2 linked regions of the Xenopus tropicalis genome follow. The protein of the gene in region 2 purifies or fractionates together with the protein of the main gene of each other region. This does not show direct contact. Links are inferred from orthologs where the notes say so. Each region holds a gene or a part of one and is shown on either strand. Other genes may lie near its edges.

Region 1 (8,122 bases), on a different chromosome or scaffold from region 2:
CACACAGTGACTATGGGCATTTTTTTCTCCCCAGTGATTAATAACTTTTTGGGTAAGTGACTAAAACACTCCTGAATCCCTCCTATTGGTTTGAAAAGAACAGCGCATCCCTGCACAAGTCTGGGAGTCAAAAAAGGGCTCCGGCATTCCCAGTACACAGAGGCCCAAACTGCCCCCCACCGGCCCAATAAATAGTGACTGTCTATGGCATCTTACAGCAGCCCCTCTGGCATTTGCCAGAATACAGATTGCCAGTCCAGACCTGCCCATGAGGCTGTGCCTTACTACAGTCAGTTGTGCCTACGGCTTGTGACCTAAAACTCCCAGCATCTTTTAATAGTGAAGACACACAGAGCTACTAGTAGTAGCTACAGAAACAGACAATGCTGATCATTTACTGATAACTGTCTCTATGTGTGTTTTAGCAGAGGCAATTCTCAGTATTGTCTATGGCAGGGGATTTTTCGGTGTTTAGTAGCCATGACAAGTAGCTGTTACTAAGTAGCTCAGTGTGTGTTCACCCTTAGGGAAGAGCTTTATGTAGCACTCAAATGGAAGCACAGAGCCGCCAGTAGCTTTGTGCTTTTTCCCCATTCCCAGGAGAGTATGACAGTTAGTGTTTAGGAGCCCACGTATAACCTACCTGATTCCCAATACTAATGAAGCTTCTCGTTTGGTCATCTTGGGATCAAATCCGCCTTTATAATAACCACCGAAGGCCTAAACCAACAAGAAAATCAACTTTAAATGTTTCAATTGGTCTTCTTTTATTTTTATGTATATATATTTTTTTTTAATAATTTGCCGCCTTCTTCTGACTCTTTCCAACTTTGAAATGGGGGTCACTGACCCCGGCAGCCAAAAAACTCTTGCTCTGTGAGGCTATGATTGTATTATTTAGAAAAATGCAAAAAAACCATGCACTGTGGTTCCGGGGTGCACAGTGTGTTGTATCAACAGAACAGAAAAGAGAGAAAAAGACACACAAAAGTCTTTTGCTGGCACACCCGTTGTTTCCCAATAAAATGAAGCCTTTATTCAATCATTTAAAATCTTGTTTTAAAACCCTTAGATAGAAAGTAGGAAAAGATACTAAAATAACTTCTCTATTGACTGGGCTAATCGTAAAAGTTGTTGCTACTGTAACAACTATTTATTTTATATGTTATACGCCACAGTTGCAAATTCCTCCAGGGAGTTCAGGATATTCGTTACAAAGTTACAATTGTTTCAGTGCAATTCTGAGAAGTCGGAAGGTTTGCCTCAGTCACCTGTGCTTATCTGCATCAAAAATGATCCTGAAGGTGGGTGTTTTTTTACTGCATTTATTAATAAAGATTTGTTCCAAAAACCCCTATATCGCTCTCTTATTGCCTGCTATACTCTCGGCAATATTTGTGTGCAATTGTTTTTCCAGGGTAAGTATTGTAAGTTTAAAATTGCTCCACTTAGGTTTCTATCCGTGTGGGCCCATGATTAGCAGTTATCCAACCGTAAAATTCAGGTAAGTAAATTAAACACAAACCTCTGTGACGTAATGTCACGCACCTTATCCTATACCCAATTTGCACAATAATTCTCTTTACTACGCGTATCTGAGAAGAGAAACACCAGGAGGAAAATTCAGGCACACTAAGGGCTCCCAGTGTTTCTATGCAGTTGCGCTTATAGTAACAACCGTTGTATTACCTTTCCGGCAGTTATCCCAACAAACTCTTATTCAGAGATAGTGTCAAAGCTTCCACCTGGCTATCTTTAGCCTGACCATTACTACCGTTAAGACACAAGTGAAGCCGACCCCTAAATGGATATTAAGTTGGGTGCGGGGAGCTATAGGGAGGATCGGTGGTACTTAGTTCAGCTATTATAAGATAGTTAGTCGCCCCACAAAAATATTAATATAATCTTGGGGATTTCCGGAGCATAGGGCACACAAATTACACAGAAACTTAGGGGAAAGGGTATTATTATAAGTCTGAGCAGCCTGGAGTCCTTACGTTCACTGCGCTAAATGCACAGCTTGGACTACCGGCTTAAAGTTACTTATGATGAAACGCTCTCACCCCACCAGGGGAATCCCTCAAGTTTTCTCACCATTACTCACCCCTAATTAATGGTGAGAAACTTGAGGGATTCCCCTGGTGGGGTGAGAGCGTTTCATCGTAAGTAACTTTAAGCCGGTAGTCCAAGCTGTGCATTTAGCGCATTTAACCACTGCCTGGTTGCTAGGGTAAATTGGACCCTAGCAGCCAGATAGCTGCTGAAATTCCAATCTAGAGAGCTGCTGAATAAAAACCTAAATTCAAAAACTACTGCAAAGTGATTTAGAATATCACACTCTACATCATCATACACTTATTATATATATATATATGCAGCTTATTTTACAGGATGCAGAGGGGTTCCATCCTCATAAATGTCTCAAACGTTACCGTTTTTGGCAGGGTCTGGAGAGCTTGTTTCACTTGCGGCTCCATCTGCTTCATGGCTTGCACGGCATAGCGACCTGAAACACAGGAATGCATTACTAATCATATGTAATAGGGAGTTGCCATACCATAGCAGCAGCTCAACAGTGTTCTGGGGGGTCAGTATCTTTAATTCCACTTATGCAGCTTCTCTATGGGGAATGAGTGGACTGTACAGTTAATATGCTGATAAATAATAATAATAAGTCAGTCTGTAGAGACAACAGGCAAGCCAAGCTAAGTGAGTCTTACAGTTCTACTAACCCGCAAATCCTGCAACAGCGATGGTCAGTCCGGCCGCTATCAGGGTGCTCGCCTGCAAAGAGAATGAGCCTCTGTAAATAGGGGTGCCATCTTCTTCTGCAATCCCAGCCTTCCTATATCCCCCTTCCCTATTACTAACCCTGTATCCCTACAATCCCAGCCTTCCTATATCCCCTTCCCTATTACTAACCCTGTATCCCTACAATCCCAGCCTTCCTATATCCCCTTCCCTATTACTCACCCTGTATCCCTACAATCCCAGCCTTCCTATATCCCCTTCCCTATTACTAACCCTGTATCCCTACAATCCCAGCCTTCCTATATCCCCTTCCCTATTACTAACCCTGTATCCCTACAATCCCAGCCTTCCTATATCCCCTTCCCTATTACTAACCCTGTATCCCTACAATCCCAGCCTTCCTATATCCCCTTCCCTATTACTCATCCTGTATCCCTACAATCCCAGCCTTCCTATATCCCCTTCCCTATTACTAACCCTGTATCCCTACAATCCCAGCCTTTCTATATCCCCTTCCCTATTACTAACCCTGTATCCCTACAATCCCAGCCTTCCTATATCCCCTTCCCTATTACTCACCCTGTATCCCTACAATCCCAGCCTTCCTATATCCCCTTCCCTATTACTAACCCTGTATCCCTACAATCCCAGCCTTCCTATATCCCCTTCCCTATTACTCACCCTGTATCCCTACAATCCCAGCCTTTCTATATCCCCTTCCCTATTACTAACCCTGTATCCCTACAATCCCAGCCTTTCTATATCCCCTTCCCTATTACTAACCCTGTATCCCTACAATCCCAGCCTTTCTATATCCCCTTCCCTATTACTCACCCTGTATCCCTACAATCCCAGCCTTCCTATATCCCCTTCCCTATTACTCACCCTGTATCCCTACAATCCCAGCCTTTCTATATCCCCTTCCCTATTACTCACCCTGTATCCCTACAATCCCAGCCTTCCTATATCCCCTTCCCTATTACTCACCCTGTATCCCTACAATCCCAGCCTTCCTATATCCCCTTCCCTATTACTAACCCTGTATCCCTACAATCCCAGCCTTCCTATATCCCCTTCCCTATTACTCACCCTGTATCCCTACAATCCCAGCCTTCCTATATCCCCTTCCCTATTACTCACCCTGTATCCCTACAATCCCAGCCTTCCTATATCCCCTTCCCTATTACTCACCCTGTATCCCTACAATCCCAGCCTTCCTATATCCCCCTTCCCTATTACTAACCCTGTATCCCTACAATCCCAGCCTTCCTATATCCCCTTCCCTATTACTAACCCTGTATCCCTACAATCCCAGCCTTCCTATATCCCCTTCCCTATTACTAACCCTGTATCCCTACAATCCCAGCCTTCCTATATCCCCTTCCCTATTACTCACCCTGTATCCCTACAATCCCAGCCTTCCTATATCCCCCTTCCTTATTACTCACCCTGTATCCCTACAATCCCAGCCTTCCTATATCCCCCTTCCTTATTACTCACCCTGTATCCCTACAATCCCAGCCTTCCTATATCCCCCTTCCCTATTACTAACCCTGTATCCCTACAATCCCAGCCTTCCTATATCCCCCTTCCCTATTACTAACCCTGTATCCCTACAATCCCAGCCTTCCTATATCCCCTTCCCTATTACTAACCCTGTATCCCTACAATCCCAGCCTTCCTATATCCCCTTCCCTATTACTAACCCTGTATCCCTACAATCCCAGCCTTCCTATATCCCCCTTCCCCCTGGCATCATGCAGCCCAGTCAGTATTAGCCCAGCATCTATGGTATTAGCCCAGCACCTACAGTGGGGGGTACAATTAGAGGGCAATATGTGCACTTTAAGCGCCAATGTAACCCCCCAGCCGATACAGGGCTAGCGCCCCCATACACTGTATAGGCACAAGGGCACTGCTGCCACATATCCTGCCATAGGATTTTATACACACAGACACAGCTAGAACCCCCTGAAGGCCAGTCCTGCTAGTCACCCCTGATTCGCTATTACACTATGGCTACCTGCCTATATATATATATTACACTATGGCTACCTGCCTATATATATATATATTACACTATGGCTACCTGCCTATATATATATATATTACACTATGGCTACGTGCCTATATATATATATATATATATTACACTATGGCTACCTGCCTATATATATATATATATATTACACTATGGCTACCTGCCTATATATATATATTACACTATGGCTACCTGCCTATATATATATATATTACACTATGGCTACGTGCCTATATATATATATATATATATATTACACTATGGCTACCTGCCTATATATATATATATATATTACACTATGGCTACCTGCCTATATATATATTACACTATGGCTAACTGCCTATATATATATATATTACACTATGGCTACCTGCCTATATATATATATATATATTACACTATGGCTACCTGCCTATATATATATTACACTATGGCTAACTGCCTATATATATATATATATTACACTATGGCTACCTGCCTATATATATATATATATTACACACACTGCCTCACTGCTGCCTGACTTTCAGTGAAGTTGAGCCGCCCTGTCCTGTCTCACAGAGGAAATGGTTGCCCAGTGGGCCAGTACAGGGAGGAGCCAGCTGAGCCCCCACTTACCATCCTTACTCCTCACTGCGGGTTATAACCCCGGGGGGGGCAGTAGCTCAGAGCCCTTATCCGGGGGAGCAGAGGGGATCCCGGCTCAGCCCCGCCTCCCGCATGGGCCCGCTCTCCGCTGACAGCAGAACAAGGCGACTTTCCAAAGGTTACGGACTTACGACGTCACTGCCCGGGCTGTGTGCGGGGCGGCGCCATGTCACTAAGGGGCGTGCCTAACTGCTATTGGTGCCGAGTAACCGCACCACGTGACTGCCAGGGATGTACTGTATAGGGCTGCGGGGGGAGGAGCCACTGACAGGGCGGAGTAATCCATTCGAAGCTGATGTTTTGCTTGCTTAGTCACTCACAATTGGTTCGTTTATCACTTATTTGGATTTACTACACTATTATTGTTCTCTTTTTTTGTTTTTTATGCGCTTGCATGATGTCCTTTGTCTATCAATCAGAGGCCCATTTAAAAGGGGGGGGGGGGAAGCAGCAAGGCAGAAGATTTTTATATAGTAGTGGTGTTTGATAAGAGACACGTCCACTGAGCTCAAACTGTTCTTCTAAATCAGTGATCCCCAACCAGTGCCTTGGGGGCAACATGTTGCTCTCCAACCCTTTGGATTTTGTATTCCTAGCTTGGGGACAAATTTTGGTTGCATACAGGGTAGGGTTGGGTTGGGTTGGGTTGGGTTGGGGGGGGGTGCAGGGACCACCGGGGCTTCCAGCGCAGCCCCCCCCTCCTCTGAGCATGCATACTTAGGCACGTCAAGAGAGGTAAATACAAAAAGACAAGAAGAGTGTATTATCCATGTCTTATTATTCCTATCAGGCTCACACCGGGTGTTTCCCACCCAAATCAATAATAGAAAACAGAAAAAAAAAAAAAAAAAATGTTGGTGTTGTGCCCTAAAATCAACAAGCTTTATTATAGACTTTAGTTGAAATAGACAATAATTGTCATAATCAGTGCATAAAATCAATCAACTGCAACCACAGTTGATAATGTTTCAATTAACTAATTAACTCCAATGGAGCATGGAGTGGCAGAAAAGGGCGACTAATTTATTGGTGGGTGGGTGATATGCACTATATACTATATACAAGAATGTGCAGAGATGTAGGGGTCCACAATATTTATTCCATATAGGGATTCACATTAATCACTATAATGACCATAATAAATCATTAGATTACGTGGTCCATAATAAATTCATTTTTATAGACATCAATTCAATCCCTGATGTATAAGAGAGAGGACCTACGGGGCCCAGAGCACCCAGCAGGGATTGGTTCTGGGCCAGGGGGGGCCCACTGGGTTTTTTCCTGGTGTCCTGCCGGCCCTGGTTGCATACAAACCAAACAAAGCCTGTAGGCTGCCAGTCCAAATAGCCAATCACAGCCCTTATTTGGCACCTCCTGGAACTTGTGCTTGTGTTGCTCCCCAATTCTTTTTACATTAGAATGTAGTGCTGGGCGGTATACCGGTTAACACCGAATACCGGTGTTTTTTTTTAAAATTATATTCATTTTGCACATACCGGTGTGTCACGGTACTCACGTGCGGCCGGTCTTGCGCGCCTCCTTGCGCTTTCATGATACAAAAAAGTATTTTTAATAAGCTCTCTGGCATGCATGCGTCATTCCCGGTGCAGATCCCGGGAGTTGAAGCTTAAGAGCCGGAGGGCGGAAGTGCTTGGGATAAGGTACATGCCGGGACTTTGATGGAGCGCGAGAGAAATTTGATCGCTGGCAGAGCTTCACCCGTTACCATAGCAACCGCAGCCGGGGCACGGAGGCATAAAGCGTGTGCTTACATAAGCCGGGAATCGGCTGGCAGCTGTGTGAGGCAGTACTGCTGAGACCGGCGCAATGAATAGGAAGAAAGGGGACGAGGGCTTTGAGAGCCCCCGACATTACAAATTATAAGTATCCTTCTTTATGGCCCTCTTATTGTGCCTATCAGTATGTGCTGTCATATATTATTTATTTGTGTGATACGTTCCATACATACCTGGGGGGGGGCATCTGAGTCTCACCCTCTTCTTATAAATCTCCCTCTAGCATTGACCTGTGCCTCCCCGTGTGTCTGTACCTGTGCCTCCCCGTGTGTCTGTACCTGTGCCTCCCCGTGTGTCTGTACCTGTGCCTCCCCGTGTGTCTGTACCTGTGCTGCCCAAGATCATGCATGGAAAAAAAAATACCGTCAAATACCGTGACACCGATATAATTTTGAAAAATACCGTGATATAAATTTTTGGTCATACCGCCCAGCTCTATTAGAATGTGGCTCAAGGTTAAAAAAAAAAAGATTGGGGACCCCCATTCTAAAGGAACCATGTTTAAAGGGGACCCATCACCCACACAAAAAGCCACATAATCACAGTCCTTTGCAAATTAAACATCAAGCCCCAATTTTTTTTGTTAAATTCATACCTGTATGAATTGTATTTACAAATCTGAGCCGTTAATCATATATTGCCTGCCCCGCCTCTATGCCGCAGGTCACCCGGTGCAGGCAAAATATTTCATGGGCAAAACCTAAGGAAATTTGGAAGTTTCCACTTTCTTATAAGCCTGAACACTGGTGCAAAAGGGGTGGCTTAAGTAAGCTTTTTATTTTAAAATCCCCTAAAATGACTCTGTACAGCTCCCAGAATAACATACCTTTCTCCCTGCATGCAGGTTTAGTTTGTTTCTCTATTACAACAGCTGAACTGCAGC
Region 2 (8,026 bases):
CAAATGCCAGAGGGGCTGCTGTAAGATGCCATAGACAGTCACTATTTATTGGGCTGCTGGGGGGCTGTTTGGGCCTCTGTGTACTTGCCAAGGTCTAATATGAATGCCAGTCCAGCATCAATATGTTAGAGATCCCGGCCCACACAGCCACTACTGATAGGAGCAGATTTAAAAAGGCAGCAGTGGAAACTGTTATAGCCACCAAATATTGCTGACTTCTAAAGAATCACTTTAAAGCTTTAAATATATAAAGTAGTGGCAGCTATTAGGATTCCATACTGACAGGCAGCATGTTTACAGATTCCTGCTTGATGCCTAAATCCTTCCATGTCAGATGCTAATCTCCCTGTGCGGATGAATGCATGGGTAGGCATAGTTCTGCGCTCCTTGCAATGCTTTAAGCTCAATGGCAAACCAATAGCTGCAATTTTCTACTCAGCGGTGCCATTATCTGCATCCATGTTACTTTCACTGCTACAAGGCATTCCTTATGGCTTGTGAGGCATTTTGGCCGGAGGGTACACAAATAGAGCAGATTGTACAGAACAAGGTCCGGACTACAGAAAGTAGCGACATACCAAGGATTCCAGGGCAGAGTTGGGGGTTGCAAAGGTGCCCCCTACCAGCCCACTAAATAGTGTCTATCTTACAGCAGTCACTATGGGATTTGCCAGTCCGGGCCTGGACCTAGGCCTTATTATGTATGTAACACACGCCACAACAATTGCTTTTATTAATTCTGGGCACTGACATAGATCATGAGAAGGTAGTTCTGTGCGATGCCAATTAGAATGGGCAAGTCAGTGACTTAGGACTGTGGGAGGGTCTAGACTAGACTAGCCTGGAAGAATTTGTAAAAGGTTTCGGGTCATCTCCAATTAATTCAAAATGATATAATAAAACAGTACCTTGTACTTGATCCCAACTAAGATATAATTACCCCTTATTGGGGGCAGAACAGTCCTATTGGGTTTATTTAATGGTTAAATGATTCCCTTTTCTCTGTAATAATAAAACAGTACCTGTACTTGATCCCAACTAAGATATAATTACCCCTTATTGGGGGCAGAACAGCCCTATTGGGTTTATTTAATGGTTAAATGATTCCCTTTTCTCTGTAATAATAAAACAGTACCTGTACTTGATCCCAACTAAGATATAATTACCCCTTATTGGGGGCAGAACAGCCCTATTGGGTTTATTTAATGGTTAAATGATTCCCTTTTCTCTGTAATAATAAAACAGTACCTGTACTTGATCCCAACTAAGATATAATTAATCCTTATTGGAGGTAAATCAATCCTATTGGGTTTAGTTCATGTTTAAATTATTTTTTTTTTAGAAGAAATATCCCTTATCTGAAAAACCCCAGGTCCTGAGCATTCTGGATAATAGGTCCCCTACCTGTATTACAAAAAAAATGAACGCATGAATCTAATTGCATATGGAAAAGCTATTGCTGGGTGATTTCATTGCACTGAAGCAGAGACACAAGAAATTAACTCACTAATGACCCCAAATCCTGCTTTGTGCATGTCAAATGATAGAATATTGTATAGAGGTTGGGCACAGCAGGGTAACCCATCCTTGGGCGGCACCTCACCTTAGACTGCAAGTAGAAGGATCCGCCTACTTCTTTGTCATTGACCTTGAACAGGTGCTCGTAGTTCTGTTGAGAGACGGAGTGAGGTCACAATAAAAGCCAATCAGCTGAATGAACAGACTGCGAGTGAGAATGCCAAGGATACGGCAAGGCTAATGACAATAACCTCACTGCTGCCATTTATTATTGATGCCAATGTCATGTAACACTGAAACAAGGTAATACGCCTGAGGGAGCAGAGAGTCAATTGTCTCTAGGGAAGGGCAGAAAAATAAACAGTATAGAAACAGAATTCACTAAAAAGAGGGCATGACAGGGTTAACTGGGTCTCCTAGGGCCCACTGGAGAACCTGAAACCTTAGGCCCACTCTCACAGTAATTCAATACAGACAGTGCTCAACAGTATAGGTTTTTACATAGGCCCATGGCGGAATTAAACATGGGCTGATGGGAATTATCATAGGCCGACCTTGTACAGACAGAACAGATGAATTAATGATATTAATGCAATGATGCAACTATATTTATATAGATATATAATAAACAAGAGCCGTTAATATCCTGTAAGTTTAAATGGTGCTTGGCGATATAATCAGTTATAATTGCTCAATATTATAATAAATAATGTACTCCCTGTTAAAAAATATGAGGATATTAGAAGTCACCTCAGGAGTTCCATCACCTGTATAAAAGTACAGCTTTTGGTCTTGTGCTTTTATATGGTCATGCAACTCCTCAGTAACTTATAATATCCTAATATTTTACAAAAGGTGGTACTTTATTCACTATATTATATATATATATTTTTACAGTTTTACCTTCTGGATCTCCTCTGGTGTCAGTTTGGAGACATTTAGGATCTGCTGGGCCTCCTGAAGGCTTATGCCAGACAGGCTGCTGACTGCCGCTGACTCTGTCCCAGCTCGCCCCCGCGCTTCAGCTGCTGCCCTGCTTGCTACAAAACAGACCCCATAGGGAAAGGAGAAGAATTAGTGAGAGCAGAGACAAGGGGCAGCCATCCCTCTGGTGAGAACCATTTAGGCAATCAAAATGTTTTGCACTATTCTGGGTGATTTCCTGGACATTTTCCAGGGTGGGAGAAAATTATATAGAAATTAATTGGGTGTTTCTGTGATTCCATAAATAAGGTTTCTTAGCTTAGTGTGTAGTGTGAGCCTTCCTTCTCTATTAGAGGTTACGCACAAGGCACTGCTACAGAAGCACCCCAAGGGGCCACAAATATATGGTCCCTATCTTTTCTTGCACAATACCCAACCCTTCAGCATCTCCTCATATAATTACATGGAAGCAAATGCGTGGCTTTTAAAGGGGAACTAAATGCTGAACACTTTGGCAATTTTTTTTTTAAAATCAAAGCCTCCCCTTCTCTGACAGTGGTCATACACAGTACAAATGGTTAGCAAATGAAACGGCAGAGCCATTGCTCTGTTTATGTGTACAAGTGCCAAGTTATGAAAGATTATATACGTATTAGATATTATAAAATATATATATATATAGTTCTCATTATATTGATAAAATTAGTATTGGATTCTTATTCAGTATCTGTATTGTAGTCTTACCAGCAAACTCCTGCCGTAGGGCACGTGTGAATGCCCGGCCCACCACTTGCATACCCATCACCATGATCTGTGCCAAGTACTTGGCCTGCAAAGGAAACAACAAAGGGCACAGGGGGTAAATAAAAAGCAATTATGTCCTTTTGTGAGAATTTGAACATTAACGTGAGCTGGGGACAGAGAGGTTTTATCAACAACCAACTTGTTGGACAATGGAAGGCGAATTCACCGCAAGTGCCAATATGTTGGGCAAGTTTTTCCCTGGGCTGGTGTGCCTTGCCTGATAAGGTGTTTGATAATATTCAAGCAAATAGTCAGTGAACCATAATGGGGCCAAGTAAGAAAGAGATAAGAAAGCTTAGTGCTGGCAGAGTAAACAGAACCAGAAAACTTTTAACATAGAAAATCAGAAACAAAAGGTATCATACTAAAAGGGGTATATACCCAAGGAGTCTATCTGAAGCAAGTGGCGTAACTAAGTGTCACTGAGCCCACCAGCAAATTCAATTAAGGGCCCCCAAAACATTGATAAATTGACCCATTCTATCAAGCTCTATTGAAATTGCTCATTACTTAGGGCCTTACTGGGCCCCCTACAATCCAGGGCCCCTTGCAGCTGCAGGGTCTGCTTCCTCTATAGTTACTGTCTGAAGTCAAAAACAAAATAAAACTTGATCTGACTGCTCTTTTGAGAACCTCTGCATCTTTTAAAAAACAGGCTTCTGCTTTAGGATGTGCTTTCCCCAGTATATACTGTACAGCGCTACAGAATACACTGGTGCCATAATAATAATAAATTCCATAATCACACTGTACAGCGCTACAGAATATGCTGGCGCCATAATGATAATAAATTCAATAATCACACTGTACAGCGCTACAGAATACGCTGGTGCCATAATAATAATAAATTCCATAATCACACTGTACAGCGCTACAGAATACACTGGTGCCATAATAATAATAAATTCCATAATCACACTGTACAGCGCTACAGAATATGCTGGCGCCATAATGATAATAAATTCAATAATCACACTGTACAGCGCTACAGAATACGCTGGTGCTAAAGTGATAAATCACAAAAGCCTGGAGGTTTACTAAGCAGTTGGTCAGTTTTTATAAACATATGGAATTCTTTTATGGAAAGAAATCTAGGGACAGAGTAACAAAACCAAGGGCATATTCACATCCCTTCCCTTGTTGTGTTGCCTTGTGTGTGTGCAGCAGTGACACCAAGTACGGACACCAGAGTTGTCACCTGTCCCTAAATTCCAGGGACAGGTGACAACTCTGGAGTCCGTACTTGGCGTCACTGCTGCACACACACAAGGCAACACAACAAGGGAAGGGAATATGAGCCCTGTATACATGAGGCACAGCAATAAGAATGGAACAGTGTGTCTATGCTGGAAGTATAACACCACAAACAAGTGCCAGTGCCACAGGGTATCGAGCTGCTGAGACAGGACATGTCACCCAGCCCCACAGGATTTCACGTCTCAGTCTGTCACTTGTCCTTACTCCACGTTTAGACAGATCCGTATCTAATACTCCTTTACCCTATGTCTTACTTACCATCTTGATTAGGGGCCCAGCGCTGAAACACTCAAGGTTAATCGTGCGGGGTCAGAGGGAATAGCGCAGCCGGAAGACACTAGGCGGCCATATTGGTCCTCTCATTCGTCCACATGGGTTACCATGACAGCTCCGCCTTGGCTGATGTAACGTAACCAGACGTCCGGCAATGCTGCCTTTTTGAATGACGTTACGCACATGGTTCAACCGGATATGCAGTAGCGCCATCTTTGTAGTTCCAGGATGTTGTGTTTCCTTATGAGAGCCGAATAGGGGCTTAGTTTAGTTGGGAAGGTCGCGGCTTGGTTTTGTTGGTTTTGCTTTTGTTTCACTTAAAACCAGAATAATTAGAAAATAGTATTATTAATCAAATAAAAGAAAATACCCCTCTATAGGGGCAATGTTCCCTCAAAGCTGTGCGCAATTGTTTTTAAAACTTTGTTTTTATTGGTTTTAATATATTGTATGAACAGAAGGTTCCAGTTATACTGGTCACATAGTATGTTGGGTAAGAACAATTATACAACAATAGAAGAGAATAAAAAAAGTAATGAAAATCACTATAAGCTCTGGGTTATTGCCTCTTTATATGATTGATTAATACCAAACAGACAAAAGAAATAAAGTATAAAAATAATTCACATTGTAGTACCCAGTCTTTAAAATTATGATCACCAACGCTACCCATAGGGGGAGATTTACTAATTCACAAACGGTCCGAAGGCGTCCGAATGCGTTTTTTTCGTAATGATTGGTATTTTTGCAACTTTTTCGTCGGCATTGCGACTTTTTCGTCGTCGTCGCTGTCGCTAAAAAATCAGATTGGTTTTTCCGCCGTTTACAACCGCTCAATACGAAAAAATCTCGACAGCGACGAAATAGTGGCGCAAAATACGATAAAGTCACGGTGGTGACGAAAAAATTGAGACGCCGACGAAAAAGTCGCAAAATTTTCGTTTCCAATCCGATTTTTTCCCTTTCGGGATTCGGATTTGTGGATTAGTGAATCTCCCCCATAGTGTTTCTAATTTTCAGGCCTGCCCACACACAAATTGTGATGCACACAAAGAATATTTTTGCGGAAACACAAAATGTTACATTTATTCAGACCTGAGCACACAGTTTAAAACATAAAGTTTAAAATGCCTGCACAATGTTTTTTTTTGTTCACATAGCTGAGAAAGAAGCAGAGGACACTGTGTATTTATTAACATCAGAGACAAACATAACTGGTGATGTCGACCAATCAGCAATTAGATTTGAATGGTCACCTACAAGAAAACAAAGCAAAAATTTGATTGGTTGCTATGGGCAACATCACCAGTGCTGTTGTCTCCAATGTTAATAAATACAGCATTGTGTAGAGATCATCTCTTCCATAAGTTTCATGTGATGACTTCTCCGGCTACTGGAGGATCTTTTCCCCATTTGGATGTAATAGAAAGTCTGGCTGTGAAGCTAAAATTCATCTTACAACTTTTCAATTGGTCATCCTTTTATAGTTTTTGAATTAATTGCCTTTGACTTTCCTCTGGCGTTTTCCAGCATTCAGATCAGGGTCAGTGACCCGTAGAATCAAGAACCTGAGGCTACTGTTTTAATATTGCTTCTTGATATCTTTCTGTTCAGACCCTCACCTATTCATATTCAAGTCTCTCATTCTGGTTGCTAGGGTTAATGGGACCTTAGCAATCAGATAGCTGCTGAATTTACATTTTTACACAATTATACGGCTAGACGAAATTAATTAAAATTAAGTTAATTAAGAAACCTTTAAAATGTTCCTTTTAGGCTATTTAGTACTAGACAGACCTTGCTCAGCAGTTCCTGTGTACCAGAAGTGCCCGCCTATAGGTTCTATATTATAAATTCAAAATAAAAGTAAGCCAAGAGCATATTCAGTGCAATATTGTAGGTCTTTCAGTGCTGAGATCCTGGTTGTGTTATAATTCTCGATATTCCAGTTTTTCACTCTTTACCAGTTCCTGTTACTCTGCTGCCAGCCCTGACCTTTGCCTGAATTCTGTTGATGAAACTTGTTAAAACATTTGACCATCAGTTCTGAACTGTGTTCCTGCCTCTCCTTTAGGGTTATCTTCATCCCAGTCCCAATATCCACTTACAGTTGCCACCTTTTCCCAATTTTATGCCAGACAGACAGGTGGGGATATCATGTGGGTGGAGACTGGCAGGACTAGGGTCACAGACTGGGAGATGGGGATGGTGGGAGTGGGGATTGGGGTGAATGTGAGGGCTTAAATGGGAAAATTGTAGGCATAAATGGATAGCGGCACCAGCAGGGTGGCAACCCTACATCAAAAGGCCCCACGGCACTGACAACATGGCCATAGTAAGGGCTACATACACCAACGAGTATAGATACATGTCAAGAGGATATCTTATTGCCTCCTCGCAAATCACTATAATTGTCATGTTGAAGCAGTAAGGCTCAACATGTAAAGGGTTAAGTTTTCAATTTAGAAAGTCTGGTTGGAATCCACATTTGAGGGAAATTCACAAATACCCCCTAAAGACACAACCAGGGACTGTGGAAGGTGACAACTTCATTACGTTTCTTTGATCTGCTGATCAAACCAAGGCAAAGTGTGGACCTAGAACTGCAGGGGGGAACAGCATACAGAAAAATCTGGATTATAGAAAGGGATCCATATCTCCTTTGCTTTAGGGTTCACATCCTCATAAATCATATATTGGTTATGAGGGGGCCGCATGCTTCCCAATGATACCAAACAGGGACGGCCTATACCCACCAGTTAGGGGGGATAGTTTCTGGGGGATTGGGACAGGAGACACCCCTCATGTTTGGTATCATTTTGATCACCCACATATGGGTTAAAACAATCCCCTACTTTCATAATAATATTGGCTACTGGCAAGTACCAATATTATATGACAAGAAACTGGCATAAGAAGTGCAGCTCTTTACAGGGGGGGTCATGTGACCAGTTTCTGGACAATCCCCCTCATGCATACTGTAATAAGGGAGGGGCCCAGCGGGGGATAAAAGCACGCATGCCCAGGTATTCTTTAGCTCATTCTGGAGGTCTCAACTTATGTTGGAGTGTGGGCTCAGGATTTCCAAATTCCTACCTCAGAGGACACAAAAGATAACTAGGTATTTTATTTCCTTTTATTTTATTTACTGTTTGTATGTACATGTCTCTTTTTGTAAAACCTTTTTTGCACTGTTTACCTTTGTAATATTAAATATAAAATTGAATAAGTTCTGTCCTTCGGCTCTATA

Evidence for each region.
Region 1: the proteins of pam16 (region 2) and dnajc19 purify together in Homo sapiens (affinity purification with mass spectrometry; 3 studies listed by BioGRID and IntAct, with this or other methods). This does not show direct contact. The link is inferred for Xenopus tropicalis from reciprocal best matches to the Homo sapiens genes PAM16 and DNAJC19.

The regions. Positions count from the first base shown.
Region 1 is NC_030682.2:8,218,012-8,226,133, reverse strand, and holds the start of dnajc19 (mitochondrial import inner membrane translocase subunit TIM14), read right to left. Parts: upstream 5,513-8,122; 5' UTR 5,414-5,512; coding exon 5,411-5,413; intron 5,330-5,410; exon of another isoform or gene 5,296-5,329; intron 2,785-5,295; coding exon 2,733-2,784; intron 2,507-2,732; coding exon 2,433-2,506; intron 721-2,432; coding exon 644-720; intron 1-643. UniProt on the Homo sapiens protein: Mitochondrial co-chaperone which forms a complex with prohibitins to regulate cardiolipin remodeling.
Region 2 is NC_030685.2:20,382,153-20,390,178, reverse strand, and holds the start of pam16 (mitochondrial import inner membrane translocase subunit tim16), read right to left. Parts: upstream 4,858-8,026; 5' UTR 4,765-4,857; coding exon 4,762-4,764; intron 3,272-4,761; coding exon 3,187-3,271; intron 2,559-3,186; coding exon 2,422-2,558; intron 1,670-2,421; coding exon 1,604-1,669; intron 1-1,603. UniProt on the Homo sapiens protein: Regulates ATP-dependent protein translocation into the mitochondrial matrix. Inhibits DNAJC19 stimulation of HSPA9/Mortalin ATPase activity.